Linked DNA regions of Struthio camelus. The protein of the gene in region 2 purifies or fractionates together with the protein of the main gene of each other region. This does not show direct contact. Links are inferred from orthologs where the notes say so. Each region holds a gene or a part of one and is shown on either strand. Other genes may lie near its edges.

Region 1 (7,763 bases), on a different chromosome or scaffold from region 2:
TTTCCTCCAGCAGAAAATACACCACCTGAGGAATGCTACAAACAAACCACAATCTGCATCTTAAAGTAATCTTCAGGTGAAACAAGTCAAGAACAGTTGCAGCAAAGGAGGCACAAGAGCCTTGGTAACCACAGTAGAGAGCTGAGCCAAGTCTACCACATACATTTACATCGGGGTGGCCTAAGGCCTTTGTCAGGAAGATTACCAGGATACTATCTGCAAGCAGAAAACTGCAAGACACTTTCACAAAGCTCTAACATCTTTGTGATAGCCACCTAGTTTTATATCGATGGGTAAAATTGGTTAGATTATGCCTCATCTATCCTCTCCTGAAGTTACCCCCTTCCAAAAAATGTAAAACATTAAAACAAAAAAAGCACACAGTCACCCACCAGAAGAATTAGACTAATACTAGAAATTAGTTCTAGAGAATTTCTTCTAGGGTCTAAGTGCAGGAACTGATAAAGATGGGGAGGAAGAGGAGGGTATACAAAAAAATCTAGGGAACAATCAGACGAACAAGCAGCACTAGAGATTCATTAAAAATTCTTGCCAAATATTTTGAACAAAATAAAAGTGGATTAAAGGAATAAAAAAGGAAAAAAAAAGAAAAGAATGTGAACTTGCTCAGTCTCACAGAGATCAAAAACTGATTAAGTCTCTAACAGTGAAAAGAGAGATGATCAACCTGCAGGATGGTGAAACATCTGGAAGGACCCAACACTGACTAAGCTACATTTGCTCTAATTTGATTTCTTCAGTACTAAACTGAAAAGAGAAGCAATTGGCACATTAGCTAAATTTAAGAGCAGCTACTCCAATTTCAAGAGATCGTAAATACTATCTCTGACAGAAGCTTGAAAGCCTAAGTACGTAGGCAGAAAAGAAAAGGCAATTCTACCAGGGAAAAATGAAGACTATTATATTCGAAAAACATGCTCTAAGATACATGTGAAAAGAAAGTACCTCTACAATATAAGTGTATTATATGAAATAGTAGCTTAAAAAAAAAAAAAATCAACTAGGGATTTGGGAAGGGAAAGTGGGTTATAAAGCATCTGTGAGCACAGGGAATGATCCCTGGAGAAAGAGGACTTGTTAACCACATAAGATCTTTCCTCCCTCCTTTGTGATAAAATTATGAGAGAAAAAGATACTAAAGTTACTCAATACCAGAGACATCAAATGTTCACACAAGAATGAAGGAAGTACAGTGGTCCCAAACAACTTATCCCCTGAACATTCACAGGCTCAACTAAGAAATGCAGCTCACAGCATTTTACTTTATTGCTGTGGGGCAAGCGCTCTCAAGAAACAGTCTGAGGAGGCAGGCAATACCTGTGAAGGATCAGTCACCCGCAGCGTAACCACATCTTCACTAGTATATTTGATAAATAGATGATTCTCATCCAAAAGCTGCATCTTCCACATGCGGAGCTGCCTCAGCTGATCGAAGTACTGGAAGAACCTTCTTTTTGCTATGGCACTTCCATCCTGCTCTGCCCTTCTCCACAAGTACACCAGCAGCCTATGCTTCAAAGAGTTTATGAAAGGCTCTTTGTAGGGGTTGGCCATCCCTGTCTGACTGTCCCGCTGCACCTCAGGATACACCGCAGACAGAGTCAGGAGGTCATCCTCATAGCAGAAGCGGCCGATAGTCCGTACATCAATGAAAGTACCCTCAGGTGTTACTTGAAAGACATGAATAGTCTGTTGCTGCACAGAGAGAATGGCCAAGATGTTTTTATAAAGGTACAGGCCCTGGTTGTGAGACAGGATGACTTTGTCACATTTGAATGTCCTTGTGTCACAGAGTCTGCCTGTGTGGAGGTCTATGATATGCAAGGAATAGTCTTCCAAAGGGGACCGGGGATTAGGGGTCACAGACTCGCTGTTGCGGTAAACCTCAAAGAAGGGAGGGTGAGGCTCCTCAGGCAGGTAAGCAGCAGAGCCGACAATCACATACCGACAGTCGTCTGTGAACAAGCTGCACTCGCGGTTCAAGTGCTCGCCATTGGAGGCCACATTGGTGATATGGAGCAGGACAAAGAAGCGTTCAAAGAGCCGCCCCCGAATGTTGACAGATCTTTGGTCGTTGCCGTTGGCCAGGATCTCTCCCTCATAGCCTTGCAGAAGGTCTTCTGCTGCCTGGCAGCCCTGATATTCATAGATCTCCAGGGAGGTCTGGTCGGAGGAGAAGGCGATGAAGTAGCGCCCATCAGGGGAGAACTTTCGCAAGAAGCAGGGGGGCTTCTCCACGTTGACCACGGTGAAGTTGGGGAAGACGTTCTGGTGGAAGACGCGGACTTGGTGCCAGTGGGTGCCGGCTTTGCCCGAGCTGATCCGTCGGCGCTCCAGACGGTGGATGACGTTCTGGTTCTGGATGCGGCGGGGCCTGATCGTGGGGGCGTCATGGTCCATGGTCAGAGCACTACTTCATCTTCACCCTGCTGGGGAAGAGAGCACGCACGTGCCCCGGGACCTCACAGAGACCAGCAGAGAAGATGGGGCAGCAAGGCACCCGCTTGCTGCAGCTGGAGGAGAGCAAGGGGGGTGCTCAAGGGACCCAATGGGTGGAGGTGTGGGGGGGTAGGGAGCCCCCAGGGAACGCCGGGGCCCGGGGGGCGAGGGGGGCCGAGACGGGGGCCCCGGGGCACCCGCTGGCGGCAGACACGGGGGGGCGACGGAGGGAGCCGGGGGCGGCAGCACAGGCGGGGACCGGGGGCGGTCGGGAGCGGGGACCCTACGCACCTGCCTGCCGAGGGGCCCGCAGGGACCCCGGGGCCCGGCCGGGCGCCGAGGGGTGCGAGAGGGCGCCGGGGAGCGGCAGCCCCGGCTGAGGACCCCGGGGCCCCGGCTGCGCTCAGCGCTCGGGCCCGGCCGCAGGGTCCCGGCGCCGCCGCTCACTCTATGGCCGCCGCCATCTTTCCGCCACCGAGCGACGAAGGACCGCGACGGCGGCGGCAAGAGCGTATCACCGCTCCCCCCCGCCCCCGCTCCCGCCGCCGCCGCCGCCGCCGCCTTCCGCTTCCGCTCCGCCATACCAGCGAGGCGAGCCGGAGCCCGCACCAGAGTGTCAGCAGCCCTGGGCCGACCCCCGCCGCCGCCTAGCGGGTGGAGGGAGCGCCGCGGGGCGCGCGCGGGGCAGCCCTGCACCCCTGCGCCCCTGCACCCCTGCGCCCCTGCACCCCTGCAACCCCCGGGTCCCGGCACCCCTGCACCCCTGCAACCCCTGCGCCCCTGAGCCCCTGCACCCCCCCGAGTCCCTGCGCCCCTGCACCTCTGCACCCCCCGAGTCCCTGCACCCCTGCACCCCTGAGCCCCTGCACCTCTGCACCCCCCCGAATCCCTGCACCCCTGCACCTCTGCACCCCCCGAGTCCCTGCACCCCTGAGCCCCTGCACCTCTGCACCCCCCCGAATCCCTGCACCCCTGCACCTCTGAGCCCCTGCACCCCTGCAACCCCCGGGTCCCGGCACCCCTGCACCCCTGCGCCCCTGCACCCCTGCAACCCCTGCGCCCCTGAGCCCCTGCACCCCCCTGAGTCCCTGCGCCCCTGCGCCCCTGCACCCCTGCGCCCCCCCGAGTCCCTGCACCCCTGCACCCCCCGAGTCCCTGCACTCCTGCGCCCCTGCACCCCTGCGCCCCCCCGAGTCCCTGCACCCCTGCGCCCCTGCACCTCTGCACCCCCCGAGTCCCTGCACCCCTGCGCCCCTGAGCCCCTGAGCCCCTGCTCCCCCCCGAGTCCCTGCACCCCTGTGCCCCTGCACCTCTGCACCCCCCGAGTCCCTGCACCCCTGCACCTCTGCACCCCCGAGTCCCTGTACCCCTGCGCCCCTGAGCCTCTGCACCCCCCGAGTCCCTGCACCCCTGCGCCCCTGCACCCCTGCACCTCTGCACCCCCCAAGTCCCTGCACCCCTGCGCCCCTGCACCTCTGCACCCCCCCGAGTCCCTGCACCCCTGCGCCCCTGAGCCCCTGCACCTCTGCACCCCCCCGAGTCCCTGCGCCCCTGAGTCCCTGCACTCCGAGCCTGAGTCCATGCACCCCTGAGCCTCTGCACCCCCTGGGCACCCCTGCACCCCTGCGTCCCTGCACACCAGAGCCCCTGCACCCTTGAGCCTCTGCACCCCTGCCCCTGCGTCCCTGCATCCCTGAGCTCCCACACCCCTGAGCCCCTGCATGCCATCCCTGCACCCTGAACCCCTGCACGCCTGCACCGTTGCAGCCCTGCGCCCCTGCAGCCCTGCACCCCATTCCTGAGCCCCTGTGCCTCTGCACTCCTGAACCCCATCTCTGCACCCTCCCACATCCCTGCAGTCCTGTGCCCCTGAACCCCTGCACCGCTGCACCCCTGTGCCTCTGAGCCCTTGCATCACTGAACCCAATCCCTGCACCGCTGTACCCCTGCATCCCTGCATGGCATCCCCGTGCCCCTATCCCTGCACCCCCTGGGCACCCCAACCCTCTTGGACATCCCCTGCACCCCGTCCCTGCACCCAGGCACCCCTTGCATGCCGAGCACCCCCCCATCCCCCTGAGGGACACCCCTCTCCTCCCTGCACTGCCCTGTTCCCTGGGTACCTCCCTCGCTGCTTCAGCACCGTCAGGGGGATCCGGCCCCACTGCCCCACATGCAGCCCCAAACCGCACGCAGACGCCCCCCCCCCCCGTGCCCCCACACTTGTATTCACAGCTGCTTCGGGCAGTTGTGCGTCACCCTCCTTCCCCAGGGCACCTCCATTCAGCGACATCCCGGGGTGGGGGGGGGGACACCGTCTTCTACCAGCGCCCCCGAGACCACCACCTCCTGCCCTAAAAGCTTCCCCCGATGCTGGGTGTGGAGACGTGGGCTGCGTTTTCCCTGTCCCCCATCCCGGCGAAGGCTCGTGCCCTGCAAGCCGTGCTTGAAGGCATCCTCCTGCGGGAGGGACAAGTGTGGCTGGGGGAACTGTCCCTGCAGGTTTGGCAGGGCCCGGAGAGCCGTCTGCACCTCGGCGAGAGCCGGCGGCGGCCACGGCGCTGGCCTGGCAGCAGGGAGCCGCTCGGCCGCCTTGAAGCCCCGGTGCAGCGTTTGCACCCGCCGGCGGGGAGCTGCCCGCTCCCCGGCACCCCCGGGATGTCCAGCGCGGCCACGCGGTTCCCGCGCCCGGGGCTGGCTCCTTTCTGAAGGGCTTGAAAGCTTTCCGCTGCCGGCGGCTTTGGGCTGCAGCCGGGCGCTCGCCCCTGCCGAGGCTTTTAGCGGCTCTCCTGCCGCCCGGCCCCTGCATTAGCGGCCGGCGGCCAAGCGCGAGCCGAGAGGGCACTTGTCTTTCAAAGGGAGCAGGCGAGGGGGAAGGAAGGGAGAATGTCAGGCAGCTCTTGAGCCCCATTTGCCACCTGCCGGCCCGTCCTCTCCGCCCGGGCTGAGCGGCTCGGTGCGCGTTCCCGGCACCGCCGCGGCGCAGCGAAGGGACGTGGGGCCGGCGGGCGCCGAGGTGGCTCAGCCCCGGGGGCGGCCGGCGCTCCCAACGTTTTGGGGCGTCCGCCATGTGTCGGGGGGCTGCGGGGCGCCTGCTCGGTGCCACGAGCTGGGCTCAGGCCTCGGACGGAGCTGGGCAGCGCCGGGCGCCAGGACCCCCGCCACGGCTCCAGCTCCCCCCGCCCCGGCACAGCGGTGCTGAGACCGCAGGGCCCTTCCCGACCCTCCGAAGGCCTCTCCTTCTGCGCGAGCCCTGGGAACGGCGCTGGGCAGCCCTGAGCGGCCGCCGCCGCGGTGGCCAGCTGGTGGCATTACTGCCGTGCGCGCAGGGCCATCCCTGCCCGGGCTGGGCACGGGAGGTGCAGCAAGCAGAGGCGCTGGAGAGGGACCCCTTCCCGCAGCGCCGCCCGCTACCGCAGCGTGCCGCGGAGGTTCGGGGGCTCCTCGGCCCGGCCGGCTCCCCGGCGCCCCGCCAGCGCGCGAGGGGTGGGCGACAGCGGCCAGACGTGGCACGAGGCGTGTGGGAGTTAGGGACGACACGGGTGAGAGCATCCTCCGGCATCCCCGCCGAGCCCCGAAACTCCCTCCCTGGCAGGCTCCTGCCAAGCTCTCCCCTTTCCCGTCCCCTCCGGACACCCCCTCTCCTGGAGCCGCCGCGGCGCCGAGGGGGAGCTGCGGGGCGGCGCGGGACCCCGGCAGCCCCGGCGCTGCCAGCGGGAAGGGAAAAGCCCCGCGTAAACAGGCAACGGCCCCCAGACAGCACGGCGAGCGGGGAGGCCGAGCGCGGAGCCGCCCTGGGTTTCCCCTGCACCGAAAGCGGACGGAGGAGCGCGGCGCCAGGGTGAGCCGGCGTTCGGCAACAAAAATAAAAGCTGGGAGGGCGTCGGGTGAGGCCGTTCCCGCAAACCGAAGCCGAGCGGCGGGATCAGTGGGACCGCGTGGCGCCCGCTCCCGCCGCGCTTTCGCCCGCCGAGCCGCCGGGGCGCTTTCGCCGTTTGCGCTCTTCTCGCCGCGTCCCGGCTGCCGCAAGCGCGGCTGCAAGACGGCGACGACCGGCCTCGGCGCCTCTCTTTGTCTCTCTCCCTCCTGCGTAATTAATTGAGATCCACCTTAATAGGATAAAACTAAATACCAAAGAGCATCCAACCACACAGCAGCTGGCAGCAAAACAACAGCCGGGCGCGCACGTACAGAAAGACAGCTCAACGGACAAAAGGCCCATTTAATACAGTAGCTATTAGCGGTTCCTGAGCTAATAACTTCAGGACCACAGTCTTCCCGCGGCCGGGGCCAGCCTGGGGCGATGCGGAGCGGGGAGAGCAGCCCCTCGCAGCAACGGTTTCGTTAATCATGGTGTAAGATACGTCTCGTCACGTCTAAACCGCGTGCGCCTTCGGCAGCGGTTGGCGTCTAGCCAAAGCTGGCGGCAAAGTTAGTCCCTGCTCGCGCGGGTCTGGGGAAGCCTGGAGGCAACGGGTGGTGGGGCTGGAGCTGGCGCGATGCCTCCGACCAGCATGCTGAAGGCCAAGGGATGGAGGCGCCCAAGAGACGGGGTCAGGGGGAGACTGGGATTCAGCGAGCAAGGAAATCAGGGGTGGTTTCTCAGATTTTAGGAAAAGTTTTCTCCACCTTCCACCAGCAGACAGCTTTAAGGTGAGCTTCTCGGGGCTTCAGTGGAAAGTGCCCAGAAGGGTAAGCTGGCGAGTAAGAATATCTCTGTGTATTGAAGAGAGAAGGGGTGTGGAAGGGGCGCAGGGCCTGTGCTCAAGCATAACGATGCCTTTTCTTGATGGGTTTAGCCGTTGTGGCAGGTGACAACATCTGATGCCTTCACAGGGGCCTCCTTGTCCCCTCTTGGGGTGTTCCACCGGGAGCGATTTTGTACCTCCTGCCACGTTTCATGCCGGCTGTTGCCCAGCTTTCCCGAGGACCGGCACGCGGGCAGCCCGGCACAGCACTCAGGATCCTGTGCCGGTGGGGTCGGGGGACACGCGGCCATTACCACCATCATCTGCTGGGGGACGGTGGGGAGCTGGGCATTGCCCAGCGCGGTGGAGATGGGCAGCCCCAGCCCAGAGCCGAGGGCTGGCGCGGGACGTTGCTGGGGGCTCATACGGGGTTTTACTGCACTGCTGGCAGCTGTGCAGAGCACTGGGCTGCTTGGATTGGGCTCTTACTGAGCTGTTTCCAGCGGAAAAAGCATTTAGAAGAGGAGCCCTGTGCTTTACTGCACGCCCTGCTCCAGCGCAGCGGAGGGGTGGCAGCCCCGGCTGAGCTCAGGCGCGTGCACGGGGGCTCTGACT
Region 2 (7,667 bases):
GCACATCAGTTCAGCCCACAGCGTGGCTGCAGCTCCGCGAGAAACAAACCCAGACACTCTCCCCATAGCGCCGCTGCTGTGGGACGTTCAGGAGTTACAGCAGTAAAGCTGTTTTTATTTCTCAAGACAGCAAGATACAACCGGACTTCAAACGTGGCGTAGTCCTATTAAGAAACTATTTTTACACCATCACTTTTGGAAGTAAAATCATGTTTTTAAAAAGCATCACCTCATTTTTTGCAAAAGGGACTCTCAGCTCAAGCATGCCACTTAAATGGGCAAAACTGTTTATGCTAGACATTTTATATGCATATAAAAATAACAGTAATGCTTAGCCAAGATGGTATGAATTAAAATACATTTTCACAAAGTCACTCTCCCCCAAGGGCAAATGTATTTTCTAAAAGATTTTTTAAAATTCCCTTGCGAACACATTCTCTGACTGCAGTAGGTGCGTACCTGCCTGATCCAATATTACTGTTCTCATGCTCCTGATTCCAATAAGATTTTGTTCTAAACTACAAAACTGCTACAAAGGACAGACTTATCTTTAAAACTGAAGAAATTTCTTAAAACTGCCATACCATTTTAAAGTATTCAAATTGATCAAAGATACTTTGCTTGTAGCTTTTTAAAGCCTATGTAAAAACCTAGGTTTGTCAGAACGTGAAGAGAGATGATGGATGGAGCAAGAAATCATCTCATTTTAAGATCTTTGGCATGCCCTTTTGTCATGTTATAGCCTATTGCACAACAGTGTCTTTATTTTGCTTTCATAAGAACAACTTGTTTATTATTTGCAGACATATCACTGTTTTCTTGGGTATTATACCACTCTGAGTGAAAAAAAAAAAACAAACTTCAAAAGAGAAAGGAAGAGTTAATAAACACTAATATTATTTAAACACAAAATATGTTTAACAAAAAAAAACTGCAGCCACCTTCAAAATAGCAAAGCAGAAGCTATTCTTCTCCAGTTTGAGAACAGGAAACAAGGTCTGATCTACAGGATTGTGAAAGAGGTGTGTTTCTTGTCGAACAGTGGATACCGGAGCCAGTCAGGAAATCTGTCAGGGGATAAGGCGACGGTGACACATGCCATCCTTCGGGGTGGAGGAGGAGCAGAGCAAACCTGGCCTCCCGTGAAGATCTCAACCGCCACAGAAATGGGTTCTGGTGCAGACCACTGTGCTTTACAGTGTTTATTAGGATCAAGTTATGTTTTGCCTGCAGTAACTGTGAATAACAATGAAAACCATAGATAGGGGATTTTATCATATTGCTCTTTACCTCGAAGAGCAAACACGTATGATTTTGTTCTTTATACAGCTAACTGCAGGAGCAGGATATACACGGGCCACAATTCTATTTCCTTTGAGAGTAATGGAAACATTATCACTGACGTAAAGGGGAGGGAAGAAAGGACAAAAAAGAGCAGGTCATCATTTTGCTAACTGCTACACAAAAGGAAATCAATCAAGGACGTCAATCTTGATATTATATAATTAGTTAAAACCTAACCTCAGAACAATAGTAGCCATACAAAATAAAATCAAGCTTTTATAAATGGTATAATTTATTCAATTGTAAAATACAGAGTTACAAACACCGATTTTAAACAAACAGGAGAGGAAAGAACTGTGGCATTATATAAACACTCAAGCATTTAACTTCAAAATACTCTCTTACTTTATAGCATTACTTAAAATAGGAAGCTACAATCAAGGATCCAGTTTTAACTGAAGCACAGTAATATTGCTCATGCTCAGATGAGAAAGTGAGAGGGGAAAATTGTCACACGGACAAACTATTCCATACGTTTGTTGTGCTCCTCAGAATACCTTGTTTTAATAATACTTTGCCAAGTTAACAATCCTTGCAGGTGTGGTGACATTTTAAAAAATAGTAGTGAAAATTTCATCATACTGTCACACACAACATTAGAAACCTAAGGCAAAAACTCTTACCCTCAATAACTCCCAATAAATGGCACGTCTCATTGAAACCATGTGAACCACTGGTTTCACACAAGCATAAAACAGCAAGATCAGCTCATAATTCTCAAAAAATGGCTTTTGTCAACAGGAAGCTCTCATCTCCTTTCTTCTGGAAGCTGAATTCATCTGGCTCACTGGCTCCCTTCAGAGCAGAGCTAATCTCCAGTCTGGTCTCCGCACCTCCACCTTCTCTTCCAAGAGAAGGCTTTTTGTTGGTGCAGCTGCACAGACTTCAGGGCTAGCTAACTCTTTGCCCAACCTAAACTTGTGTGTACGAAGAATTTTTGAAGAAGATACTGAGCCCTTAAACTGAAATTTTGCACGGCTGCACAGTCACCTTTAAGTAACAGAATTTTAAAAGCACGGTAGCTGGCTAAGACCTGCAAAGCAACTGGGACATCTAGCAAATAGCTCCACAGCCCTTCCTATTCCTAGGGAGATGACTTGGCAGGATCATATTCTAAATACAAAGGATTCAGAATTTTCCCTCTCCTCCACCTGTTTCAGCAGGAAAGTGGTGAAATCCACTGCAGCTGGCTTCCCCCTCAGTCCCCAGGACCCTCCCTCCTATTCCCCTCTCTCCATGGCACCCCAGACCACGACCGGTTAGGAGCTAAGGAGTCGTGTACGATCAACGGCAGGACACAGCGCCCGAGTAGCTGACTGCTGCCTAACGGAACAACGAGGAGGAAAGGATAACCCTGCTGCTTCTCCAGCAAAGGGGATGCTTACGCACATCTCCCCTTTATACTCATTTTCAGAAGTCATGACTCTGGAGAAAGGTAAGCTATGACCGCTACACCTCTGACTTAATTTGACTTCAGTAAACATGACAGTTACTGAGAACAGAGGAAAACTTGACAGTATAACCCTTAAAGCTTTGTTTATTTACCAAATCTGTTTATTTCTATTATATATGAATTAGACTGTAACTCATTAGGGCTTTTGCAACTATATAACTTGTTCTGTATCCAGTCAGAAACAAACTCACGTATTTTTTTTTAAATCTGGAAAAAGTACTTTTCTGAACAACACTGTGATTAGGTTTCAGGCCTCAGGAGCCACCTGACAGACAGAAAATGTGCTCCAAAAAAAAACTCAGGAAAATTACATTCAAGTAAAATTAAATAAATTCATGAACCACAGTTTCTGTCAAGACAAGCCAGCGTATATTTTTCTACCAGAACCACGGCTGCCGACAGCCTTCCAGCGCGCAGCTTCGCTGTCAGAAAGGCAGGTGTGAGCTCTCAGAAGTCCTTTGAGAGTCTCCCCCGGTACAACCTCACAGCTTGTCTTGTTACTTTTTCTGCAGCTCTTTCCCAGCTCTGACTGAACCATAACAGCGTTCGTGGAGAGTTCGCATTTCTTTGGATAACGGAACAACACCAGCACGACACAAAGCCGCGGACAGCTCACAGCTGCTATTTTTGCTTCCAAGTTTTTTTGTTTTTTAAGTGCTAAGCTCCAGCCCAGCACAAACCCGTTTATGTTAAACCCGCAAGAAAAGCGGTGTGATGACACTAAATAATTATAACTTTTCTTTATACCGAATGAGCGCACAAAAAGAAAGGCCTCCATTTCCCAGACAAGCTAACAGACAAAGGCCTCAAACGCGGGAGGGGGCCCGCGGCCGACCCCCCGGGCGCCCCTCGCCCTCAGCGCTGATTAGCGGCAGCCTCGTCCCGAAGTACCTCAGCGGGAAGCCACCGCGACAAGCGCAGAAAGGACCTCGGCCTCCCGCTCTGCCGCCGGGGCCGCGGCGGGGACCGCAGGGACCGGCTCGGCGCCCGCCGCCACCGGCAGCGCCGCCTCAGGGGGCGGCGGGGGAGGCGCAGGCCGCGTCGGCGGCGCTACGGGGGCTGGCGAGGGCCAAGCCGCGCCCCCGCCCCTCCCGCTGCCGCCACGCGGAGGGCCGAGGCCACGCCCCCTTCCGCACGACGCACCCCACGCCGGCGCGCTAGGGGGTAACGAGCGCGCTCGTCACCGGCTGCCGGCAACCATGATTACTTCCGGTAGGTCAGAGGGTAGCGGAAAGGAGCGGGGGGGGGGGAGGAGGAGGCGGCCTCGCCGCGGCCGCCGGCGGCAGCAGGGCGCGCGGGGAGGGCGCGCGGGGAGGGCGGCTCGGCTCGGCGCGGGTCGGCGGGGCGGGGCGGGGCGGGGCGGGGCCTGCCGCCGCCGCTGCCGCCGCCGCGGGGTCCCCGGCCGCGCTTCCGGGCGGCCGCGCCCCAGCATGCCCGGCGACCGGATGTGCCGCCATCTTTAGGCTCCCTCTCCGCCTTGTATTGACAATAACAAGCCCGGGCCGGGCCGTCCCCGCCGGAGCGCGAGCGGCCAGAGCGGCGCGGGGCCGGCGCGGGCGGGCCCGGGGCTGGAGGCGAGGCGGGCGGCGGCAGCCGCGCTCGGCCCTGCCCGCTGCTGCTCGGCGGAGACGCGGCGGCCGGAGGCGGCGGGGAGCGGGCGGGGGAGCGGCGGCGGCGGCGGCGGGGAGACGCCGGCCCTGGAGAGAAGAGCGGCCGGGAGCTGGGCGGCGGAGAGAGGCGGGAACGGAGCCGCTCCCCGAGACAGGCGCCAGCGCTGAGACAAACCGCGAGAAGAAACACAGTAACACGGAAAAGGGGGAGAGGGGAGATAAAGCGATTCCTCCGCCGAAGAAGAGAGCAGAGGAGAGGGAGCGCGGAGAGGCTCCGCTGATAAAAGGAGGAGAGAGAAAGGAGTGGAAAGACTCCCCCGGGAGACAGCAAACAGAGACTCACTCTCTCTCCCTTCGTCACACCACCAGGATTTGATGCCCCTCAGCCTGTTCACTTCTGTGTGTTCATGTTTCCCACAGGTTTCTCTTCCCCCAACCCCCCAGCAGCAGCTCAGGAGGTCAGACCTGCCACTGATGGTAATAGCAGCAGCAGCAGCAGCTCCTCCTGCAAGAAGAGAAAGTTAAATAACAGCAGCAACAACTCTGAGAGAGAAGAATTTGATTCCATTTCCTCCTGCTCCTCTTCTCCTTCCAAAAACAACTCCTCATCTTCCTCCGTCATCACCACGTCCTCCTGCTCCTCCTCAGGGGTTGCCTCCTCCAACCATCACCTCCAGAAGAAGCTGCGCTTTGAGGACTCCTTGGATTTTATTGGACTCGATGTGAAGATGGCCGAAGAGTCATCTTCCTCCTCCTCTCCTGCTGCCTCTTCTCAACAGCAGCACCAACAACAGCTCAAAAATAAAAGCCTTTTAATTTCTTCAGTGGCTGTGGGGCATCATGCAAATGGCCTGACCAAAGCTGCCTCCTCTACTGTTTCCAGTTTTGCCAACAGTAAACCTGGTTCTGCGAAGAAACTAGTGATCAAGAACTTTAAAGGTAACAGGCCATAATTTGTCACAACCTGTGAGGAGCTGGCGCTCGACTTTGTGTTCTGTTTTCAACATTAAAAGCGGTTGGCTTTCATATAGGTCCAGGTTTTACAGGAAATGATTTTCTGTGGTAAACATTTCTGTTTGTATGTAAAGGGGGAAATGATGTGTTATGATGCATACTTGCCCAGTCCTGTGCCTGTCTTGACTACTACAATGTGTTGCTTGGAATTGTTTTTCACTATTTTCACTCTTACCTGTTGAGGAGAAGACCTTAACTTGTAAGTTAAATGAAATATTTTACTACGTAAGTGTGTAAACCACCTTTATTCGAACTTGTAGTTTGACATTGCTTTCCTATAATTCTGATTCAGGGCGCAGTGTATAGTTTAGCCCGGTTTATGGTAGGTCTTCCCAGAAGGTTGTGGGGCAGGGGTTTTTTTTGTTTGGGGGGGGGGGGGGGAACAGAGTTGTATGTCTTGCCCCGTCTGTTTTGTCTGACTATAGGTTAATCTGTCTGTGCTTAGTTTAAATATTGAAACTAAGGTGATTATGAGGCTATTATGGCGGATTTCCTTTCCACTTCTCCTGCTTGTCTTTAAAGTAGGTAGTTCAGAATTTTGCCAGGTGTTTTTGTCGCAATATCCGTGGTGCAACTTCTACTATTTAACCTTTTTATGGCTTTTTTTTGTTGTTTGTAACCCCTCTCAACAAACAGGTGTTAGATCTGCTAAAGTATCATTAATTGAGATCAACTGAAATGGAGAAATTAAACTTTTTGCTGATGTTGCTTGATGTTCTAGTAAATAAGTTACAAATAGGTGTGGACAAAGAACTTAGTTTCAGGGACCTAAAGTCCTGTGGGTTTGCCTATAAAATGGGTAAATCGGGAGCTTTCCTGGTTTCCTACCTCTTACTATCTTCCATACTGGTCCAGTAGCTTTTTTTCCTGAGTTATGTTTCTTTTCCCCGGTATGTCTGTTTTTTGTCAGGGAGTTGTTATATCTTTTAAAGATTTTAATATTACGAAGATGAAAACTAATATATAAACGTACAGTTGATACAGATGTCCTGTAAAGATATCGCTGAAAGAAGGGCTTATTTTAGCCACTGTAATGTGTTACAGCAATTCATGGTTGCTGGGTAAGCTTTAAGGTCCTCCTGACTCTCAAGAACGTGCTCCCCTCCAATTCCCATGCTCACGTGTCATCGTCACTTAATGAGACTGATTACTTTAAATGTTGCATTGATGATGCATGATAGCGAGGAATAAAGGCCACTCTGCTGCTGCTTGTACTCTTTTATTATCTTTAAGGGAAGTCAGCTCTTCATGTTTAAAATACTTGCTAAATCTCGTGAATTGCATGTTGTCATGATCATCATTGCTTATGAATTGGTATTTGAATCACTTGAAAATCTAGCAACTCTGTGTTTTATTTATTCTCAGATCCCAAGCTGAATATTTTTAATATGCCTTTATCTGTGATAGAAATAACATCCTTTACAACCTGTACAACTTCCTAAAATTCAAAATCCTACTATTTGCTGTTGAGTAGCTCACTTGCTAATTGCTAGTGAAAACAAGCAAGTTTCACTTGTGTTTAACTGTCTCTGCAGATTCTTGTGATGCAAGCGATGTGGGGGTATTGCCAGTATTGTAGAAGAATGCTTGTTTTTGGGGAAAAAGGAAACCCTACTTCGCTTCATTTGTTATTTCTGGAGAAATCATGAGGCTGTAGATTTTTGGTTTCTTAATGTTTAAATAGGTAGAAGTTGATTTTAATACAGTATGAACTCTGGGCCAATTTAACCTATTGGTGGCATGGATGTACGTGTGACTTTCCCCCTAAATTCTCTCCTCCTTCCCTCTATCAGAATAGAGCTATGTGAGCAAAATTTGAGCTATGTGAGCACAAGAGAGGGCTTAACTCTCTTAAAAACCCACTGGCTAAGCCCAAGAGAGACATCACTGAATTAGTTCAAAGTAGGAAGGTTTTCTTGGCAACCATAAAGCCAGTAATATAATTAAGCATTTCCATGTATGTTTCTTAGGGGTTTCCTTCCAAGTGTTTATACAGAGTAGAATTAATAAGCAGTAAACTTAAAATATCGTATACACAACTATGTGTTTTGGAATACTGATTATATTGATATCGCTTTCTTAATCCACCGTGTTCAGCTTTTACGTGACTTTCTCGTTCTTTCAGCTGTGCTGTCGTGATAGTGAAAAAGTGTGACGAAGATGCAGACTGCTGCAAGTCACAGTACTGTGATTTTTTTAACTCATGCCTATGGTTTGGGCTATGGGTGCTGTAAAGTGTACGTGAA

Evidence for each region. The genes of interacting proteins can lie anywhere in the genome.
Region 1: the proteins of CUL4B (region 2) and DET1 purify together in Homo sapiens (affinity purification with mass spectrometry; 3 studies listed by BioGRID and IntAct, counting the BioPlex papers as one, with this or other methods). This does not show direct contact. The link is inferred for Struthio camelus from reciprocal best matches to the Homo sapiens genes CUL4B and DET1.

What each region holds. Positions count from the first base shown.
Region 1 is NC_090953.1:9,549,399-9,557,161, forward strand, and holds the start of DET1 (DET1 homolog), read right to left. Parts: upstream 3,005-7,763; 5' UTR 2,752-3,004; intron 2,451-2,751; exon of another isoform or gene 2,448-2,450; 5' UTR 2,422-2,447; coding exon 1,339-2,421; intron 1-1,338. UniProt on the Homo sapiens protein: Component of the E3 ubiquitin ligase DCX DET1-COP1 complex, which is required for ubiquitination and subsequent degradation of target proteins. The complex is involved in JUN ubiquitination and degradation.
Region 2 is NC_090952.1:11,849,130-11,856,796, forward strand, and holds the start of CUL4B (cullin-4B), read left to right. Parts: upstream 1-4,666; 5' UTR 4,667-4,814; coding exon 4,815-5,346; intron 5,347-7,667.